Coturnix japonica: one gene and its partner. The protein of the gene in region 1 purifies or fractionates together with the protein of each later gene. This does not show direct contact. Links are inferred from orthologs where the notes say so. Each region holds a gene or a part of one and is shown on either strand. Other genes may lie near its edges.

The links.
Region 2: the proteins of PINK1 (region 1) and VIM purify together in Homo sapiens (affinity purification with mass spectrometry; 3 studies listed by BioGRID and IntAct, with this or other methods). This does not show direct contact. The link is inferred for Coturnix japonica from reciprocal best matches to the Homo sapiens genes PINK1 and VIM.

What each region holds. Positions count from the first base shown.
Region 1 is NC_029536.1:4,261,287-4,271,211, reverse strand, and holds the start of PINK1 (serine/threonine-protein kinase PINK1, mitochondrial), read right to left. Parts: upstream 4,964-9,925; coding exon 4,946-4,963; exon of another isoform or gene 4,702-4,945; intron 4,498-4,701; coding exon 4,111-4,497; intron 3,318-4,110; coding exon 3,051-3,317; intron 2,807-3,050; coding exon 2,703-2,806; intron 1,677-2,702; coding exon 1,494-1,676; intron 1,138-1,493; coding exon 974-1,137; intron 162-973; coding exon 34-161; intron 1-33. UniProt on the Homo sapiens protein: Serine/threonine-protein kinase which acts as a sensor of mitochondrial damage and protects against mitochondrial dysfunction during cellular stress.
Region 2 is NC_029517.1:18,028,013-18,037,665, forward strand, and holds the start of VIM (vimentin), read right to left. Parts: upstream 5,437-9,653; 5' UTR 5,355-5,436; coding exon 4,810-5,354; intron 4,754-4,809; exon of another isoform or gene 4,733-4,753; intron 4,716-4,732; coding exon 4,655-4,715; intron 1,450-4,654; coding exon 1,354-1,449; intron 1,217-1,353; coding exon 1,055-1,216; intron 588-1,054; coding exon 462-587; intron 1-461. UniProt on the Homo sapiens protein: Vimentins are class-III intermediate filaments found in various non-epithelial cells, especially mesenchymal cells. Vimentin is attached to the nucleus, endoplasmic reticulum, and mitochondria, either laterally or terminally.

The DNA of each region.
Region 1 (9,925 bases):
ACAACCAGCAGCACCAGCTGTGGGAAGATTTACCTCAGGTGGCATAAGAGAGCTATTGCCACCACGATCCATGTCAATGCTGGTGAAGGGCAGCCTCAGACCAATGCTGTCATCTGCCAAACAGCAACCGAAGTCTGTGATCACCAGCCGGGGGCAGCCAGCTGCAAACAACAGGGACAGCAGTGAGCATTCAGCTTGGGGGCACCCAGCTGCAAGAGACAAGCACCAGGAGCAGGCACTATGGATACCCTAACAACCGGGACACATAAGGTAAGGAACTCTTCAATGATGAAAACAATCTTTTCACCTTCATCTTTACCTACAGCAAAAGCTATAAAGATAGAATCTGAGCTAAAGGCTGGAGGAATCTGGCATGAGTTCACAGTTCTTGTCCTGAAGACAAGCCAAACACTGCAAAGCAAAAACATTACTTCTCCTGACTCTGAAAGGGAAAAATCAATGCTTTAAATCATTCCTAACTGCATTCAGTGGAGCTCCAGAGAAGCATTTCCTTCAAGAGAGATGGCATTAGCATCACTGAAAGCCCGCCACAGCTGCTGCACCAAGACTTTCAATTACAAAGATCTGGCTCCATGCTGTTGTTTCCTGCCCGTTTGATTTTCAGTCACAGTGAAAAAGAGCTCAGGTAATTAAAATCTCAGGTTAACGGGGCCAACAGGAGAAGCTGGTGACAAAAAAAATGCTGCTTTTGGTTTGAATACTCTGTCAGTTCCCTGCCTTTCAACAGATGTGGAGCCATGGCAGGATACAGCAGCATTTTAAGAACTGCTTTGTGCTGTCTGGCCAGTGAGGAATGACACAGCCTAATGCCAGCAATGCGAGCATGGCAGTCCTGTATGCCTTCAAGCCAACACTTGCTTTGCTTGTGCAGCACATCCTGCACCTCTCCCTCAGGTTACAGCACAACCTTCTATGTCCACAGACACAGCCTTACACCCAGTGATCTACATACCAGAATCAAACTCAACCAGGATGTTGTCAGACTTCAGGTCTCTGTGTGCTATCCCGTGTCGAACGAGATGATCCACGGCTTCCAACAACTGCAAAATCATCATGGTGGACAGTCGGGTATCTGGGCTGTTGTCCTTCAAATACTGGCACAGGGTGCACGGATAGCTGGTCAGAACACAGATGATACCTGAATTAGCATCCCAGAAGCCTTTCCTTTCCCATTTGACTTCAGTGCTGTCTGGCTGGGGATACACTGCACTTAGAAGTGCCAAATTCCTCCTGAACTTTGCCATGCCTTTCAATTTCTGAGTCACAAGCACAGACAGCTTGCCTTTATTGTTGAACAAGAGCTAAAATCTCAAGGATCTCAACAGCTCTCAGAAGCCACGTTTCCAAGAGTGTACTCTGACTTCTGGCAACAACCCAGGCCAAATCTCTAGCAGGACCCATGCAGCAGAACACACAGCTCTGCTGGGCAACCCCACAAAGTTCCAGCCCCCAACAAGCTTCTCCCCACCTACTTTTTCATCACTAAGAAGAGTGTGTGGCTGCGACCGATCCCTCTGGGATTCAGGCTCACTGGAAGAACATCAGGATAGTCTGTGAGGGCTCCAGGCAGCAACGGGACAGAGGATGTGAAAGCTCGGATCACCTGGATTATATTTGGATGAGGTCTCAATCTCTTCCTCCCAAGGACAGGTTCTCTGTGTAAAGATACAGACATAAGTTACACTGATCTCTATGACCTCCAGGGTTATTTTTCATTACTATGGTACATCCCCTCCACCAAAGGGTTCCAAAGCAGCAGATAAATATGTCTGTTCTGCTGTCACCTTGTGACTGGATTTCCTGCAGTGTGATGGATAAGCAGAAACACTCACACTCAACATGCAGCCTTTCATTTTCTACTAACCCTGTCCTTTTAGACTGAAAATAAAGGCCAGATTCACACTGCCACATATCACCTTAGACCTCGTATTTACTAGCACAGACAGGAAGCATTCAGGTTACTGACTATGCAACTGCAAAACAGAGCTCTCCTCTCTGAACATCAGATAGTCCTTTGGCTTCATTGCATTCCCAGGGTAACAACACACCAAGCAGCATTTGTTATTCATCTATACTGTCAACTGAGACATATTTCAAGTGTAAATCAGGCAGTCTGGACTGTGGAGTACGTTCTCACTGCTTTTCCAACAGTTAACTTACTCATTATCAGAGAGCAATGCAATTTACATACTTTACACATGGGGAAGCTGAGGCACAGTGCCCCATCAGACCCAAAGCAGATGGGTTCCTAATCATCCCATGTCCTTCCAACACTCTTCAAGACTAAGACACTGGAGGGAAGCACACGGCCAAGCTGCAGGTATCTCCTGCATGCCAAGTGCTCCTCAAAGCAAACAAGACTTTTAAATTACTATTTGAACAGCACCACTGCTACGCTGTTCCCTCACTAGAGGGAAGTCACTAGGATAGGCAGAAGCGTGCTCTTGCATGGCAACTGAGGCATACAGCACCAACAAAGGCAGTGCCATTTAGCTAAGGCACACACACACATGGAATAATCCCAAGGATTCATGCTCAGTTCTTCCCATAAGATATCACAGAAACCTCCAGCTGCATTCTGTACAGCACAGACGTGCTGCAGAACGAAACCGATGGATCAAGCTGGATCAAATTAGCACATAATACCCTGAGAACAGCTGTCATTGCGATGGATACTGTACCTGCGATGGGAGATGGCTCCATATTCCCCAGCTAAAGCAGTCTGTGTGGCTGGAACGAGCTCTCGGTGCATATTGCGCAGGATGCCTTCACTTGAAGAGTCAGCCTGCAACAGCAACGTGCTGTCAGCTCCACAGGAATAATGACTGGCTGTGTGACTTGTCACTAACAACAGGCATTCAATGTCTTGTCCTTATCGAATGGCTTAGACTGGAGAGGACCTTAAAGATCATCCAGTTCCAAGACATTATGTAGGCTGGGTGGCCCCTCACCACATCAGGTTGCCCTGTGTAACCTAACTCTGGGCATATCCAGACACACAAGGAGGATGTTAAGAGCTGACTCCTTACCGAGATGTTCCACATCATTTTGATAGCCAGGGGGAAGGCAGCTTGCTGTTGGCTTTTATCTGCCGGCTCCTTTTCAGACACAGGCAGAGCTGAGCTCTGTGTGCTCCCCTGGCGATGGAGGGATGAAGGAATAGTTGCTTCATAGACAGCAGCATTGCAGCCCTTCCCAAGGGGCTGCCCGATGAGATAATCCTCCAGCTTAAAGCCCCGCCATCGCAAAGAGCTCAGCGGATCTTTCTGCGCCTTGTTCTTCCCAACAAACACCGTCTGAAAGGAAAAACGAAGGAAAAGTGGAATGAGAAAAGCATTCAGTTTATTCAAGACTATTCAGTTTATTGACAGGCTGAGGGAGTTGGGTTTGTTCAGCCTGGAGAAGAGAAGGTTGCGGGGTGACCTCACTGCAGCCTTTCAATACCTGAAGGGAACTTACTCCCAGGAGGGGAGTAAACTCTTCAAAAGGGCTGACAATAGCAGGACACAGGGAAATGGTTTTAAGTTGAAAGAGGGAAGATTTAGGTTGGATGTTAGGGGGAAAGTTGTTTACTAGCAGAGTGGTTAGGCCCTGGAACGGGCTGCCCAGGGAGGTTGTGGATGCCCCGTCCTTGGGGGTGTTCAGGGCCAGGTTGGACGGGGCCCTGGGCAACCTGATCTAGTAAAGGTGTATGTTTGGTAGCCCTGCCAGGCAGGGGGGTTGGAACTACGTGATCCTTGAGGTCCCTTCCAACACGGGTCATTCTGTGATTCTGCAAAGACTGCACAATAAAGGAAAGCTGGAGTGCTTGGAAAGAGCAAAATGCCTTTTAATCAACCAGGAAAGCCCAAGTGACTGTTAAGTGCAAAATGGCCTTATTTTCAACCAGCCTAAAGCACGGGTTGGTACTGAATGGGCTCCGAGATCCCTTCCAACCCAATAATACAGCGATTCCACACACAAAGACAGACCGAAAGCCGCAGCCAGAGGCTGCCATTCAGGCTGTAACCATGGGGACAACAGAACCCCCCTAAGGCTGGAAAAGGCCACTAAGCTCATCACGTCCAACCCCTCCCCGTAGCCCCACACCTGGATCCGGCCACACGCCGCCCTCGCTCTTCGTTGTTCCTCCAACGGCGGCTCCAACAGCGCCAGCCCCAACGCCAACGCCATACAAGGCCCGGCCCGGACCCTCCGCACCGCCATTGCCGCTAGGCCAGCCGGGCGTCTGAAGGAGAAGAAGCGGCCGAATGGCAGCCGGGAAAAGAGGGAAGATGGAGGAACGGCTGAGGGGACAGGAGGGGGGACGGGGATGGGGAGGGGGCGGCGGCCGGGCAGCAGGCGGTAGGCCCGGGATAACAGCACCCGAAACAACATGGCGGCCACCGAGCGCCTCAGGAAGAGGCGGGAAGAAGGCGGAAGCGGAAGGGGCGGGGCTACAGGGAAAGTGGGCGTGGTTATGGGGAGGGGGCGTGGCTATGAGGAAGGGGGCGTGGCTACGAGGAAGCGCGTAATGCGCAATGCGCATGCGCAAGGTGAGGGCTTAAGGTGCTGCTGCAGGTTGCATTGGTGCAGCATGCATTGGTGCATGGAGTGCAGTGAGTGCATGGAGGGCATAGTGCACACAGCACTGAGCACGCAGGGCATGGTCCAACAGGGCACAGAGCACAGCATGCCTCGTTAAAGTAACACGTCATTGGGTTTTGTTCCATTGCTGTTTCATTGTCAAGGAATTGCTCTTTGTCCTCACGAAAGCAAGCAAAAATATAGAGAGAAAGGAGAAAAATAGGCTAAAAAAAGGAGCTGTGGCATCACATTGGCTGCACGGTGAACACAGTGCACAAATGGCTGCTGGATAATGCTGGGAACTGGAGCTGATATTGCTTTTTATCCCCTGTTGGGCTGCATTGGATCCAAGCAACACCCATGGAGCAAACTCCATTGTCCCCAATGGAGTCAATTGCATAGAGGGGGAGTGATCCAAGGTGCTGAAAGGGAAATGCAGGTGTGCAGTTCATGCCTTCTGCAGGTCCTCGGGGCCAAAGGAGAGTGGCAGGAGCTCCCGTAGTGTCTTCACAATGTAGGTGCCATCAGGTTTGGTCAGGTAGATGTCCCAGTCTGTGCCAAACTACAAGGAGAAAAGCAGGAGAGAGGGTCAATAGGGAATCCATGCTGCAGCACCCACAGCTCAGCTCAACTGCTGGGCTCCCTTAGTTTGTTCAGCCCAGAGATGGAGGGGTGGCCCCCATCCATGGTGGCCTGCAGCTCCTTGTGGCCCTCCATGCCCCCAGCATGGCAGGGGCTCCACTCACCTCTCTCATCACCTGTCTGCAGGCCCCGCATGGCGTGATGAAGTCTGACATGTTACTGCCAAAGCAAAAGAGCCACACCAGGTTCAGTATCACTCCATCCCAAAAGCCAAAGGGAATCAGACATAGAAACCCAAAGAGATTCCCCCAGACCCAAAGGGATCGCTCCAAAACTAAAGGTGGAACCACACTGGAAAAGAAAGGGATCACCCAAAACCCAATGAAATCACCCAGAACCTAAATAGGGCACCTCCCCAAAGGGTATTACCCAAAACCCAAAGGGGGCACCACCACAAAGCCCAAAGGGGATGCCCTAAAATCAAAGGGGGAATCACCCCCCAAACCAAAGAGATTGCCTCAGAATTAGAGGGAGAACCATCCCAATAAGCAAAGGGATCACCCCAAACTCAAAGGGGGTACCTCCCCAAAGCCCAAAGGAATAGCCAATAATCCAAAGGGCGGAACACTCCAAAACCCAAAGGGATTCCCCAAAACCCAATGGGACTGCCCAAAACTCAAAGGGAGAACCACCCCATTGAACAAAGCGATCAGCCAAAACCCAAAGTGGGCAGCACCCCAAAAGGGAGCACTACGCCAAAACCCCAAAGAGATTGAACAAAACCCAAATGGGGCATCACCCTAAAACCCATAGAGTGATGTGGTGCCATGGGTGCCAATGGCCTCACCTGGCAATGGCCATGGCCTTGAAGCGTGTGTGCCCTTCGGAGATGGCTTTTAGGATGGCTGCACGCTCAGCGCACATCCCAAGGCTGTAGCAGGCATTCTCTACGTTGCATCCTATAGGGAAGCACCAGCATCACTCACCACCCCATAAAGCAAAAGGGAAGCATTCCAAAAAGGAAAGGGATTGACTAAAAAGCAAAGAGGGAAGCATGCCAAGAAGCAAAGGGATTGCATAAAAGTCAAAGGGGACACTGCCCCGTAAAGCAAAGGGAACACCCAAACAGTAAAGGGATTGCCCCAGAAGAAAAGGGGGAACCACCTCAAAACCTAAAGGGTGAAACACTCCAAAAGCCAAAGGAATCACCCAATGCCCAAAGGGAGCACCACCCCAACACCCAAACAGACCAACCCAAAAGCAAAGAGGGGACCAACCCAAAAAGCAAAGGAGGAACCACCCCAGAAAGCAAAGAGGGAACCATCTGAAAACCTAAAGGTGCAACGCTCCAAAAACAAAAGGGATTGCCCAAAACCCAAAGGGAGAACCACACAAAAACCCAAAGGAACTGCCTCAAAATCATAGGGGGACCACCAAAACACAAAGTGTTTGCCCCAAAATCACTGGGGGAACCACCCCAAAGCCCAAAGGAGGCACTAAAAGCCCCCCAGAAAAACATAAAAGAGATTATCAAAGCGAATGCCACCCTAAACCCCAAGGGAATCACTCCAAACCCAAAGGCTCCACCACCCCAAAACCCCACAGGGCTCAAGCCAAACCCAAAACAGCCAACACCCCAGAACCCATAGTGGGGGGCACCATCCCAAAGTGACCCCCCGGAACCCAAATAGACCATTACCCCACAACCCCAAAGCAATATCTCACCGGAGAAGATCTCCCCATTGGCGGTGAGCAACGCGGCACCCACAGGGAAGCGGCTGTAGGGGCAGTAGGCACAATCTTTGGCCTCACGACAGCGGCGAAGCAGCAGCTGAAGGCACTCACTGCCCTCCATGTCTGCACTGCCTGCCCCACACGATGACGCCGACGTGGTTAAATATTGCCCTGATTGCAACGCCCTGTAGGGATAACGCCCCACGTGTGCGCTTGGGCATCATCCCCAGCCTGGAGTTATTGGGATCAGGGTGGTGGAGGTTGAGCAATTTTTCTCTGTGTTTTCCCTTTTTATGTGTGTGTCTGTGTGTTCTAAGCTGGAGTGTTTTCATACACAGCCTTGTTTTCCTTCCTCCCCAGCAGGAATTTGGTGCCAGGAACGTCCTGGGGGGAGCCACAGAGAGGTCAAAGGGAAGAAAACCATTGGGTTGCAAACAAGAAATAGCACATTTCCCTCTCATCCCTCCCTCCCAACCCTCCCCCGCTCCTCCTCCCTTAGTTTCTCATTGACAGCCAACACACAGCAGGGGAAGCGGATGGAAAGTCTTCCTGACGCTGCCTTCCCCTGCTGCTGCACAATCCTATTGCTGAGCACAGATAAGGACTGTTCTGCGCCATCCTAAGGGGTGGTCACGTCCCCCTTGTGTGGTTGAGAACCATTTCCCATCCCTGATATCCCCATACATGGGGCTAATAGGACGATCCCCTTCCTAGTTCACTCTGAAACCTAATGATGGCAATGGGAAAAAAAAAGGTTATTCCATAGCCAAAATCACCCACACCCCTGTGCTATTTGTAGGACTCAAAGGAGGCACCACCCCAAAAAGCAAAGGGAGGACCACTTGAAAACCTTTAAGGGTGCAACACCACATAAACCAAAGGGATCGCCCAAAACACAAAGTGGGAACCAACCCAAAACCCAAAGGGATTGCCCAAAACATAAAGGAGGATCTAAGGAATCACCCAAATGCCAAAGGAAATACCACACCAGAACCTATAGGGGATACCACCTCAAAACCCAAAGGAATGACACCAAAATCAATGAAGGATCCACCCCAAAACCCAAAGGGATTGCCCCAAAATCAAAGGGGGAGCTACCCCCCAAAAAACAAAGGGATCACCCAAAGCCCAAAGGGAGCACCACCCTAAACCACAAAGGAATCACCCAAACCCCAAAGAAAGAAACACCCCAAAACCCTAATGGGGCACAACACCAAAATCCAAAACAAAAGCTCAAAACCTAAAGGGACTAATACCTCAACAACAAAATGGATCACCCAAAACCCAAAGGGATCACTCCAAAACCACAGGGGACTCCACCCCAAATCCCTAAAGGAATAGCTTGAAACCCAGAGGGAGTAAAACTCCAAAAAACAAAGGGATCGAGCAAAACTCACAGGGGGCAGCACCCCAAAACACAAAGAAATTGCTCCAAGCCCAAAGGGAGTGACACCTCAACACCCAAAGGGAGTGCCCAAAAACCAAAGGGATCAAGAAAAACCCAAAGGTATCAATACTCCAGAAACCAAAGGAACTGCCCCCAAAATCAAAGGGAGAAATGCTGCAAAACAAAAGGGATCAATACTCCAAAAACCAAAGGAATTGCCCCCAAATCCAAGGGGGAACTATCCCAAAACCCAAAGGGATCTCCCCAAAATCAAAGGGAGAATCACTCCAAAAACCAAAGGGATCTCCCCAAAATCAAAGGGGGTAGCACCCCAAAACCTAAAGGGATCTCCCCAAAATCAAAGGGAGACTCACTCCAAAAACCAAAGGGATCTCTCCAAAATCAAAGGAGAATCGCCCTAAAATCCAAAGGGATCTCCCCAAACCTAAAGGGTGCTGCACTGCAAAATCCAAGGGGATCTCCCCAAAATCAAAGGGGAAACCACCCCAAAAACCAAAGGGATCTCCCCAAAATCCAAGGGAGAATCACCCCAAAAACCAAAGGGATCTCCCCAAAATCAAAGGGGAAACCACCCCAAAACCCAAAGGGATCTCCCCAAAATCCAAGGGAGAATCACTCCAAAAACCAAAGGGATCTCCCCAAGCCCAAAGGGGGATGTACCCCAAAATCCAAGGGGGCAGCACCCCAAAATCCAAAGGGGTCTCCCCAAAATCCAAGGGAGAACCATCCCAAAAACCAAACAGATCACCCCAAAATCAAAGGGAGAATCCCCCAAAATCCAAAGTGATCTCCCCAAAATCCAAGGGGAAACTACCCCAAAAACTAAAGGGATCTCCCCAAAACCAAAGGGGGCAGCATCCCAAAATCCAAGGGGGAACCATCCCAAAACCAAGGGATCTCCCCAAAATCAAGGGAGAATCACCCCAAAACAAAAGGGATCTCCCCAAATCAAAAGGGGAAACACCACCCCAGAACCTAAAGGAATCTCCCCAGAATCGCAAAGGGAGAATCACTCCAAAAACCAAAGGGATCTCCCCAAGCCCAAAGGGGGATGTACCCCAAAATCCCACTTAGAGACCCCAAAATCCCACTGGGAGACCCCAAAATCCAAAGGGGACTCCCCAAAATCAAAGGGGGAACCATCCCAAAAACTAAAGGGATTTCCCCAAACCCAAAGGGGGCAGCACCCCAAAATCCAAGGGGGAACCATCCCAAAACCCAAAGGGATCTCCCCAAAATCAAAAGCAGAATCACCCCAAAATCCAAAGTGATCTCCCCAAAATCCAAGGGGGAACCATCCCAAAACCCAAAGGGGGCAGCATCCCAAAATCCAAGGGGGAACCATCCCAAAACCCAAAGGGATCTCCCCAAAATCCAAGGGAGAATCACCCCCAAAACCCAAAGGGATCTCCCCAAACCCATTATCAGCAGGGGTTGCATGGCTAAACGTCGTTATCGCTCTTTGGGCTCTGCACTCCGCAGGGGCAGCTCTTTCTCCCCGTAGCGGAGCAGCCTCATCTCCCTCCGGCAGCAGCAGCGCAGCAGCATCTCTCCGTGTGCGCCGATGCATTTCTCCCTCCTCTCCACGCTTTGGGGAGGTGGAGCAGCGCTCCG
Region 2 (9,653 bases), on another chromosome or scaffold:
GAAGCCTTGTGAGTGAGGTGTCTGATGAGACACGTTTAACATTATGCTACCAGACAGCAAAGCAAACCCCCACAGTAAGTCAAACACATACAGTACAAGTCAGCACGCAGATAGTACTTAGTGAGGGAGTCTACCGGTGTACTAAACAGTTACCTCCATTTCAAGCCAGCCTTTCAGGCAACTAGATTCAAGAAAGTACAAGATCTGCACTTTTCCACTGCTCCCTTAGGCTTCGTATAGCTCATTCTGTAATGTTTACACCTTGAGAAAGACCAGCTCAGTACAGCAATCTGAGCAGTGCACTACACAGTACATGCAGACAAATGGAGCCCAATGAGTCTTTTTCAGGAAGGATGGGTACACTGCTGCCTTGTACGGGAGATCAGCTGCAGCCACGTCCATCCACTGAACTACAGCACAGTGCTTAAAAAGCTGCATCAGGAAGAACATCATCTACTTACACTTCCTTTAAGGGCATCAACTTCACAGGTGAGAGACTGAATCTGTCTGCGGTATTCATTAGCTTCTTGTTTGGCCTGGCGCAGGGCATCATTGTTCCTATTAGCAGCTTCGGAGAGATCTGCAAACTGTAGAAACACCCAGTTTGGTTAGCATAACTCCTCATTAAAATGGTGTAACAGGCTACTTCTAGACCCAGGATTTGGAAGCAACTGAAGCCATTACAGGGATGTTCTAGCACATGAAATATTTAAACGTGAACATTACACTGAACTTCTCTATTCCTGATTGTTATGTTTCAGATCCTTTCATGCATTTATTCATTCCTTTCCTAAGTATATACTTAAGAACTGCCTCCAGCTCCAAGAATAGGGAAGAACAGGAAACGAGCCCATTAGTTTGATGCTGCACTTAGGGCACAAGTAATTTTTCCAACTGTATTCTTCCCAGATCAATAAGTTTAAAGACTACCCTACTCTGCGGCTGTGCTAGCATTCAGTACAGAAGGAACACTGAGTGCTACAGCAAAACTGTTACCTAAAATTCATTTGAATGCCCGCTACATCTGTATAATCCTACAACACATTTTACTTACTTTGGACTTGTACCACTCTTCAGCTTCCTGAAGATTCTTAGCAGCAACACTTTCATATTGTTGACGAACATCACGCAGGGCAGCAGTAAGATCAGGCTTAGAAACATCCATATCGATTTGGATGTGCTGTTCCTGGAGTTGAGCCTGCAGTTCCCGGATTTCCTTAGAGAGAAGGAGACAGTGTTAATAAACAACACTATACAGAAAATGCATAGGTTAGGACTCGGGGCCAGAGCCAGAGAGTTTAGTTGTTCACTTGACTGACAGTGCCCAGACACAGACCTCATTATTCAGCTTACCTCATCATGAAGCTTCTTCAAGAAGACAATTTCTTCTTGCAGGGACTCAACTTTGCGCTCAAGATCAAGGCGCGCCAGAGAAGCATTGTCAACATCCTGATCAGAGAGAAGAGAACAATTAGTAATCTTATTTTTGCTCCTTCCAGCCCCAGCCTCAGAGATCACTATATGCTGCTTTATCACAACTTTGTGGACTATGCAGCATATGAAGATGTCATCTTTGCTATGTTACTGCTGACACACATCATGGTGGATGAACATTTTGTTCATCTCCTATGGACTCCTCAGTGACACACCAGAGTCCCTTGGCTCCGCAGATCACAACTTGAAGGCACTCTGTTAAATGTAGGGATGTGTGTGTAAGGACCACAGACTACCCCAAGCAGTTTGACAGATGTCCCTGGAGGAAAAGGTATGAGCATAAACACAAATGGAGTCAGTCACTGCTGCCTACACCCTCGCATTAGCTGGCAAATACTCCACCCTTTGCTGGACAGAGATAGTCTTAATCAACAGCAAAAATTCATTTAAGGCACAAGAGATGATATGCCACGAATGTTACATGGAAACAGTGTTAATTTGTTCAAAAAATAACTGAAAATTAACCATGGATCAGTAACTTCTTACATTTTAAAGACACGAGTAAAGCACTTTATAAAGGGAAGACATCCTTTCACATTGGCTGCCCAGTTTTGTTCCTATGGTATTAATATAAGCATCCTGTTTTCACAACTTGCATTACAGCCAGTCTGTATTTTGTCCAGAACATAAACATTACTCATCAGCAGCACTCACTATTACAACACCTCTGAAACAGGAAAAGTTTTCTTTAGACTATCAGGACGCCATCCTTTGGTTTACTCCTATCCCGGGATTAAGTTTTTTGCACCAGAAGAATTCTCCAGCATTCAATATGCAGCAGAAAGCCCCTTTGATGTGTTACGAAAGTTTCTTATCAACTCCAGTTGCACACCACAGTTCATCTTGGCTCTGTTTTCCAGTTCAGAAAAAAAAATGAATTCCTTAACGCATTTGTTCTCCTCCCAAACTCCAAGACCATTCTAGAAGGAAATTACACAACTATGACCTAACATGTTTACATGACTACTGAGAAATCCAAACACTTGCCAGTGGATTTTGCACAAGCCTCAATACTAAAAGGGATTATTTTTTTCCCAGATTCAAAGAGCTACAGAAGTTATAGCAACCTCTAATATGCAGAAAGCATCTTAAACTGGAGGCTTGTTCAGTACGTAATGTGCATTTCACTGTATTTCCGCTAAGTGCATTTACTCTGCACACTTTAGAGCCATGTAGATGAAAAAGGTATTAATAGCCTGAGCAAACAAGGTTTCAGTCACACATATGAGTAATTGGACTGACTACATATTGATTTTATCTGAAGAGAGTCTTTAATGGCTGAACATCCTCATTTATTTCAGGAAAGCCCTTGTTAGCCAGGAGCTGACCTGTGTGCCTTGTCATGGGCTCAGATCTGTTCCCTGCTGTCAGAGCATCTGACAAAGCTGCGGTACATAACTTCCTCATTAATTATGATGCCTCTTTTGTTGCACAAAGCAGTCACCAAATCCCTAGGCTTATTTGATGTAGAACACCCCGCAGTATACGTGGAAAGTAATGTGGCATCTCTTGTTTAGAGGAAAAAATTCAGTAACTCTCAAGCGTACTTTCTCTTCTAAATCTGCACGTTAGAACTACTCTGTTGTGGCAGGGAAAAACTGGGTATACTTTTGTTCAAACCAAACCCAGCAGCATGCACTATTTGTGCCACTGATCAACTCAGACAATGATCTGCAGTTTTTACATGTAAAGCTGAGTGGTTACATGGGCTCAGTGCATGGGCAGAGCAGCTGGAGGCTGAGTGACAGGGCAGGGAAGCAGACAATGAATGTGAGGCACGCACAGCACAGCTCACATAATAGCCCGCAGCCTTTACAAAGCTGTGTTGCTTGGAGGGAGAGGAAGACGTGCCTTGAAGTGCACCAGAGAAGCACGCATGATTGAACTAGCTTTAAGTCAAAGGAGCTTGTGCTTGAACTCTAGTAATTTGAAACAAAAAGGGGAAATGCATCTGCACTGACTTGGCAACTACTTGGATGGGCTCAGCCCTAGTAACACAGCAGCCTGGGTTAAAGGCAATACCTGGAACTGCTATTTCAAGCTTCAGCCCCCACAATGTCAGTGGACACCTCATTCCCAGCCCCTGCCATGTGTCTGCTCCCACACTGCCCCACTAAGACCACCAGGGAAATGCTAAAAACCAAATGACAGCTTCCTACATGGTGACACCTACTATTGCCTATGCAGAGCTCTAAGATGGTCAGCCTGCGCCCAGCTGTCTGGAGATACAGGGCAGCTGCTTCCAGCTCAGAGGAGTGATAGCAGTGTTTTTTCACCCCAGCAGTTTTCAGGAAGTTCTGTTGTTTTGAGAAGGCACATTCCTAAAGTTCTGCTCGTCCAACCAGCCCTCAATCCACGCCAAGAGCTGGTTTTGCACAAATCAAAACTTAAGCTCAGAACTTTCCGCAGGCTTCACAGTTGGTTCTGGCTGTCACATCGGCTTTGGTTCAGCTGTGTGACACCGCAGCTTCCTACAGACCAAACTCCGGTGCACTGTATCTTACATTAACATCTTTGCTTATAAGGGATTGAATTCTACATTCTTAATGCACATCAAGGGGATACAGACAGCTGCTGTGAGCTCATCCCGAGGAACCCATTGTCTGCTTCTGATCAGCAGACACCACTGATAGGAAATACTTCAAATCTGGGACAGTTTCCTGAGTGTGCAAAGTGATGCGGCTCATCCAGAACCGAGTTCAGTATTTTACAGAGTCTCCCCCAGGAACGTGCCCCCACCATTACACATTCGGTAGGAATGCAGCCCACGGCAGCCTCCCCTCCAACACAAAGGGATCCATTATTTCAATCTGCTGCCACCACACCGGCCATAATGCCTGGATCTGCATTCCTCGGTGAATCCCATAGAAACCATTAATACCCTTCAGCCCGGCGCGCAGATGGCTGCGCCTTTTCACAACTATTGGATCAGAAAGCGATTCCACGTCGGAGCGCTTTTGTGGAGCCGGCCAGACCGGGATAAAGTGGGACAATAGCCTCACCCTCCCCTCCGGACTGCGGCACCCCCCTAAAGAAAACAACGGGGAGACCAAGGGGCTGCGCCGAGCGCCTTTTGTGCGGGCAGAGCCAGCCCGCATCGCCAGCCCCCAGCCCCAGCCCCGACCCTCCGCCCCCAGCGCCCCGCGGCGGCCGCGCCCACCTGTCGGAAGGACTGCAGGGTGCTCTCGGCCTCCTCCCGCTGCAGCATCTCCTCCTGCAACCTGCAAGCAGCGACACACGGCCGACGTGAGGGAGGGAGGTGAGGGATGTGAGGGTGGGTGCCCGCCCCGCGCCCAGCCCCGGCCCCGCACTCACTTCTCCCGCAGGCGCATGATGTCGTCGGCCAGGTTGTCGCGCTCCACCTCGACTCGGGCCTTGTCGTTGGTCAGCTGGTCCACCTGCCGCCGCAGCTCCCGCATCTCCTCCTCGTACAGGTCGCCCAGACGGGACGTGCCTTTGCCCTTGAGCTGCTCCAGCTCGGCCAGCAGGATCTTGTTCTGCTGCTCCAGGAAACGCACCTTCTCGATGTAGCTGGCGAAGCGGTCGTTGAGCTCCTGCAGCTCCACCTTCTCGTTGGTTCGGGTCTCCCTGAACTCCGAGTTGATGGCGTCGGCCAGGGTGAAATCCACGGCGTCGTGCATCCTCATGGGCGGCATGCTGCTCCGCAGCCGCACCGACGTCGCCTTGGTGGCGTACACGCCGCCGGGCGAGGCGGACACGTAGCGGGCGCTGCTGGGCCGGAGGGCGCTGCCCAGGGAATAGCGGGTGGTGGACGTGATGTAACGGGTGCCGCTGCTGGGCCGGCTGCCCCCGCCGAACATGCGGCGGTACGAGGAGTTCTTGCTGCTGGTGAAGCTCATGGCGGCAAGGAACGGAGCGGCTTTGTAATCCGGGAGCGGAGCGGGGCTCGGAGCGCGGCGGGCGAAGAAGGGCGGTGGCCCCAACTCGGGGCCCCTCTTATGGGGCGCCGCCGCCCCGCCCCGCCCCGTCCGTCTCCAATGGCCGCGTCCGAGCGGGGAGGGGCTGGGGGGGAAGGGGTCCGTGGTTACAGCTCGGGGACAAAGGCGGCGGGACACGGGGCGGTTGCCGAGGTTCCTTGGGGCCCTACGCCCCTCCGACAGCGCAGTGATTCCGAGGGCAGGACGGGCTGCGGTGCTCCGACAGCGCTCCCAGCACGGGCCGAGCGCTTAAAAATGCGTCTGTGCAACTTTGTGCGAGCCCCGTCCCTTTCTCCGTATCTTGCTGAAAGTCTCCGGGATCGGGGGAGCGATGCTCGCTATTCACTAAGGGCTCCCAGACATCCAAAGCGGGCAGACAGAAACACGAACCGTCGATAGGTTTGGGGTTAGCTGCTTCCGACGGCACCCGCAGCCTCCCGTCCCGTGCTCAGGGCTCAGCGGCTCCCGGGGGCCCGCCCTCATTGATGCCGGCGGAGCTGCGCCCATTGCGGACGGGCGCTGCCGCACTGCCACGGCTGCAGCAGGGACACCGCTCTGCCTTCGGGCGCTGGGCTCCTGGTCACTTGGAGCGGTTTAACCAAGGGTCTGTTTGCTTTTAGTTTCTGTAGGCACACGGTCATTGTTTCAATAAAGAGCTCTTACAAAAAGCTCGTTAGAAGTGATCCCCAAAGAGCCTCAAAGGCAGGACATGCCTCATGCTTCTACTGCAACTGCACTATCGCAGTCGGGCTGCCAAGTGAGACAGGAGAACCAATAGTGTTGGCGTAAGATTGGATGGGAAAAACCGGAGCAGCAGTAAAAGAATTCCCCAAGACCATTTTAAGCGTGAGTGCGGAGTGGTGTAAGGGAGGTGGTGAGATCCCTGTCCTTTAGGGAACGTAAAGCTGGGCTGCCCAAAGCCCGAGGCACGTTCTCCTAGGGAACTATCCCACACTGATGCATCTGATTGGTGACACCATTCTCCTCCTTGCTCTAAAAGTGACTGACACAATGCAAAGCTATCTGCACTTATGGGGTGTAATGCTACCACTGGATTTAGTTTTTCTAACTTGCAGCCCTGCAGAAGCAATGTCTATGTTGGGAGTTCTGATAAACCTAAACATGAGCAGCGGGCAGGGAGTGAAGTGATGTCTGTACCCCAGCTCACAGTAGGGTTGGCTATTGCCCTTCAGGTGTTGTACCTTATGGGAAGAATCAGAGCCCTAATATTTAATTAAAGTTGTAGTGGGAGATTTTTGGTTGGCTGCTCAGTGCCTGTGTTCCTTTCTGTGCTGTAGTTTGGTTCTGATGGCGATAAGAAGTAAAGGAACACAGGCAAAAAGCTCAGAGGGAGGCAGCAAGCGGCTCCCAAGGGAAGATGCTGCACTCAGCTCACCGGGAGCTGTCACAGATTGCTGGGCTGCTAAGGTGCACTTGGCTCCATCTGCTTCTCTTAATGACCCACAGCTTGTTTATGCTCCACAAAACCCTTATGGCAACTGCCATCCTTCACTCCGACAGTGCTCTGCCCCTGAAATTCAGGGAGGTGTTTGTTCTGGTAAAGAAACAGGACCTCTTTCCCTCTTGTTTTGGATATAATTTTCATATGTTTGTGTCACTGGTGCCATATGTGCTCTTGGCCATCTGCCTCATTGCTGTTTCTCTGTGAAATTTCCCTAACAATACAAAGATAGTCAGTTATAAGGACTGCAATAAACCCCTCTGTACCTTCTGCTGGTGGGCTCTTACACAGGTGTGGAAATGAAGTTTCTTATACACCTGCAATGAATGTAGCCCATATTTGCATCTCAAGCCCAAAGGGGAATGTGAATTGGCCTCTGTGAAAGATCTCTGCAGTTCTTGTCAGGAAAGTCTGAATCTCTGCAGATTCCCATAGCTGCAGGAATCACAGAGAGCTGAGGAGGGAGGGCAGAGGGGAGCTGATGGCTGCAGCCAAGAGGATACAGATATACTGCTATGTACTGAAAATCTGCTACACTAAGAATGAAAATATCCCTGTAATAGTCTGGAAAGACTTTTAGTGAGGGTTCTGCTTTGAAGTGTGAAATGATTATTTTTTTCCCCCCTGAAAGTATATAATGACCCATAAGCCTAAGACATCCAGCCAAAACATCCTGCCATGCAAATGCAGTTCCCTTTGTTGTCGGTTTGATAAAGCAACCCAGAGTCCTTTAGGGAGCAAGGACTGGAAGGCATCGGCCTACAGAGGCTTTCCTTCACACTTCCCCCAGGTCCATGAATATTGAACGCTCTCTGTGCAAGAGGGACTTTTTCAACAGGAGAATATGAAAGAGGGTTAATGTCCTGCAGCAGCTGAATAGGGAATCTCCATAATATTCAGACACACAAGTGCTGGGGCTGCTGCTTGACTGAACGCCTTAACTTCTGTTGAAAAGAGCACTTCCTCCTTCAGTTGTCGTTTGAGAAGTCTCGGGCTTCTCTGGTTTTGAAAGCAGAAAGGCCCCAGGTTCTCGTTTCCGAATAAATAGTTATAAATTCTGTTGTAACCGTTCTGCTGGGGCAGTCCTTCCCTCTGGCTGGGTGCTGGGTGTAGCTGAGCCCAGAGGAAAGACGGTGTTCCCCGCAGCCTGGTGCAGCTCTGTACATTGTGCTGAGAGCACCTCAGGAAAAGCTGCTTCTTCTGATCCCCAAGAACCTTGAGAGAAGCTGCTGTGGGTTTGTGAACCCCCAGATTTACTAACACCTAAGTGTGTGTCCAGGCCTGTAAGCCCCCTTTTCTGAATAACTCGAATTTATGATCTCAGGAATTGAATTGAAAATTCTCTTATGAAAGTTATTTTTCAAATTGCATTGTCTATGGTAGTTGTCATTGTTACAAAATACAGCAAATGTCTATGAGTATCCACTGATTTTTACAAGGAAATGAGTACATTACATACTCAAGACTAACCACGTCTTTCTGCAGTACTGTATTTTAATGTCAGATGAACGATATGAAACCGGTGGGTCTTTCATCACTGGGGAAGTGTTCTGATTATGACTTGTGCCGCCCAGTTGCATGCTATTATTACTGTTGCACACAAAGTTCCCCTCTATTACGGTTTCTGGTTGGCAGAGCAGGGTATTTTCTGTCCCCTTTTGTATCTCTTTTACTGAAACAGGCAATCATTTCCAAAGCCAGAACACCTCTGCCCAAGTCGTGGGGTTGTCTCCAACAGTATGCAACATTCTAGCAGCACAGAGCAGAGAACTGGAAGTTTTTCAGTTCTTTCATAGGTATAACAATAAATGTAATCCTTCCCTTAAAGAAAAGAAACCAACTGGAATGCTCTGACTCACTGCATTTAATGGCAGTAGCACTAACTGATGACTCTCAGCAGTATCTTTAGCAGTGACTGGGACATAAAGAACAAGATTTTCCAAGCTGACAAAAGGCATGACATACTCTGAGGCTCACTGCTCAACCTTAAACTCTAAGCAGAACTAAATGCCAGAACATGCCAAGTGCTTCAGTCTTGATTTGGGTCTCCAAAATAAAATGTAGTTTGAAATTTCAGCTATTTGTTTTTCTTGTTTTATGAAGCTTGCATTTTGCTGAAGTCAAAATGGGCAGAATTCTCAGAGGACAGAAGAACAAGAGAGGTGCATGAGGATTTTAAGTGTAAATGAGAGTAGTTACACTGTTATTTCGATCCAGTTAATTTTTATTGACATGAAAGTCCTTTTTACTCAGAGAAACTGGATTTTTAGGAGACATTTATTGCAGTAGGAATAAGAAAATAGGTATTTGGGTAGCCATGTATATGCACGTACATAAGAAAACAAAGCACACAACTGAGAAATTATGGCAATGGAAAGGGCAACAGAAATCGTAGACTGAGGAAGACATCAGAATAAATGAACATGGTATAATCAGGGCCCATTTCTTCCTATTTTTGTGAGGGGGGAAAAAGGCACCAAATTCAGTAGCAGAAGGATGTCAATTCTGAAATCTCATTGCTGAGTGGAAAAATAAGAAATATGGTACTGAAATCTGCACCGTGGTTTAATTATTGTATAGCAAGATGCAGAAAGTAGGAATGAGAGAATATGTAGGACGTGTTGAAAACTCATCTAACAATTACAAGAGCACATGAAAGAAAGCCTTGAGAAGAAAATGAATTTCACTTTATGTTTCTACAGCTTGGAGAGACAGTAAGACATTCAGGGGAAAATACAGGGAAGACAGAGAATAGTTTT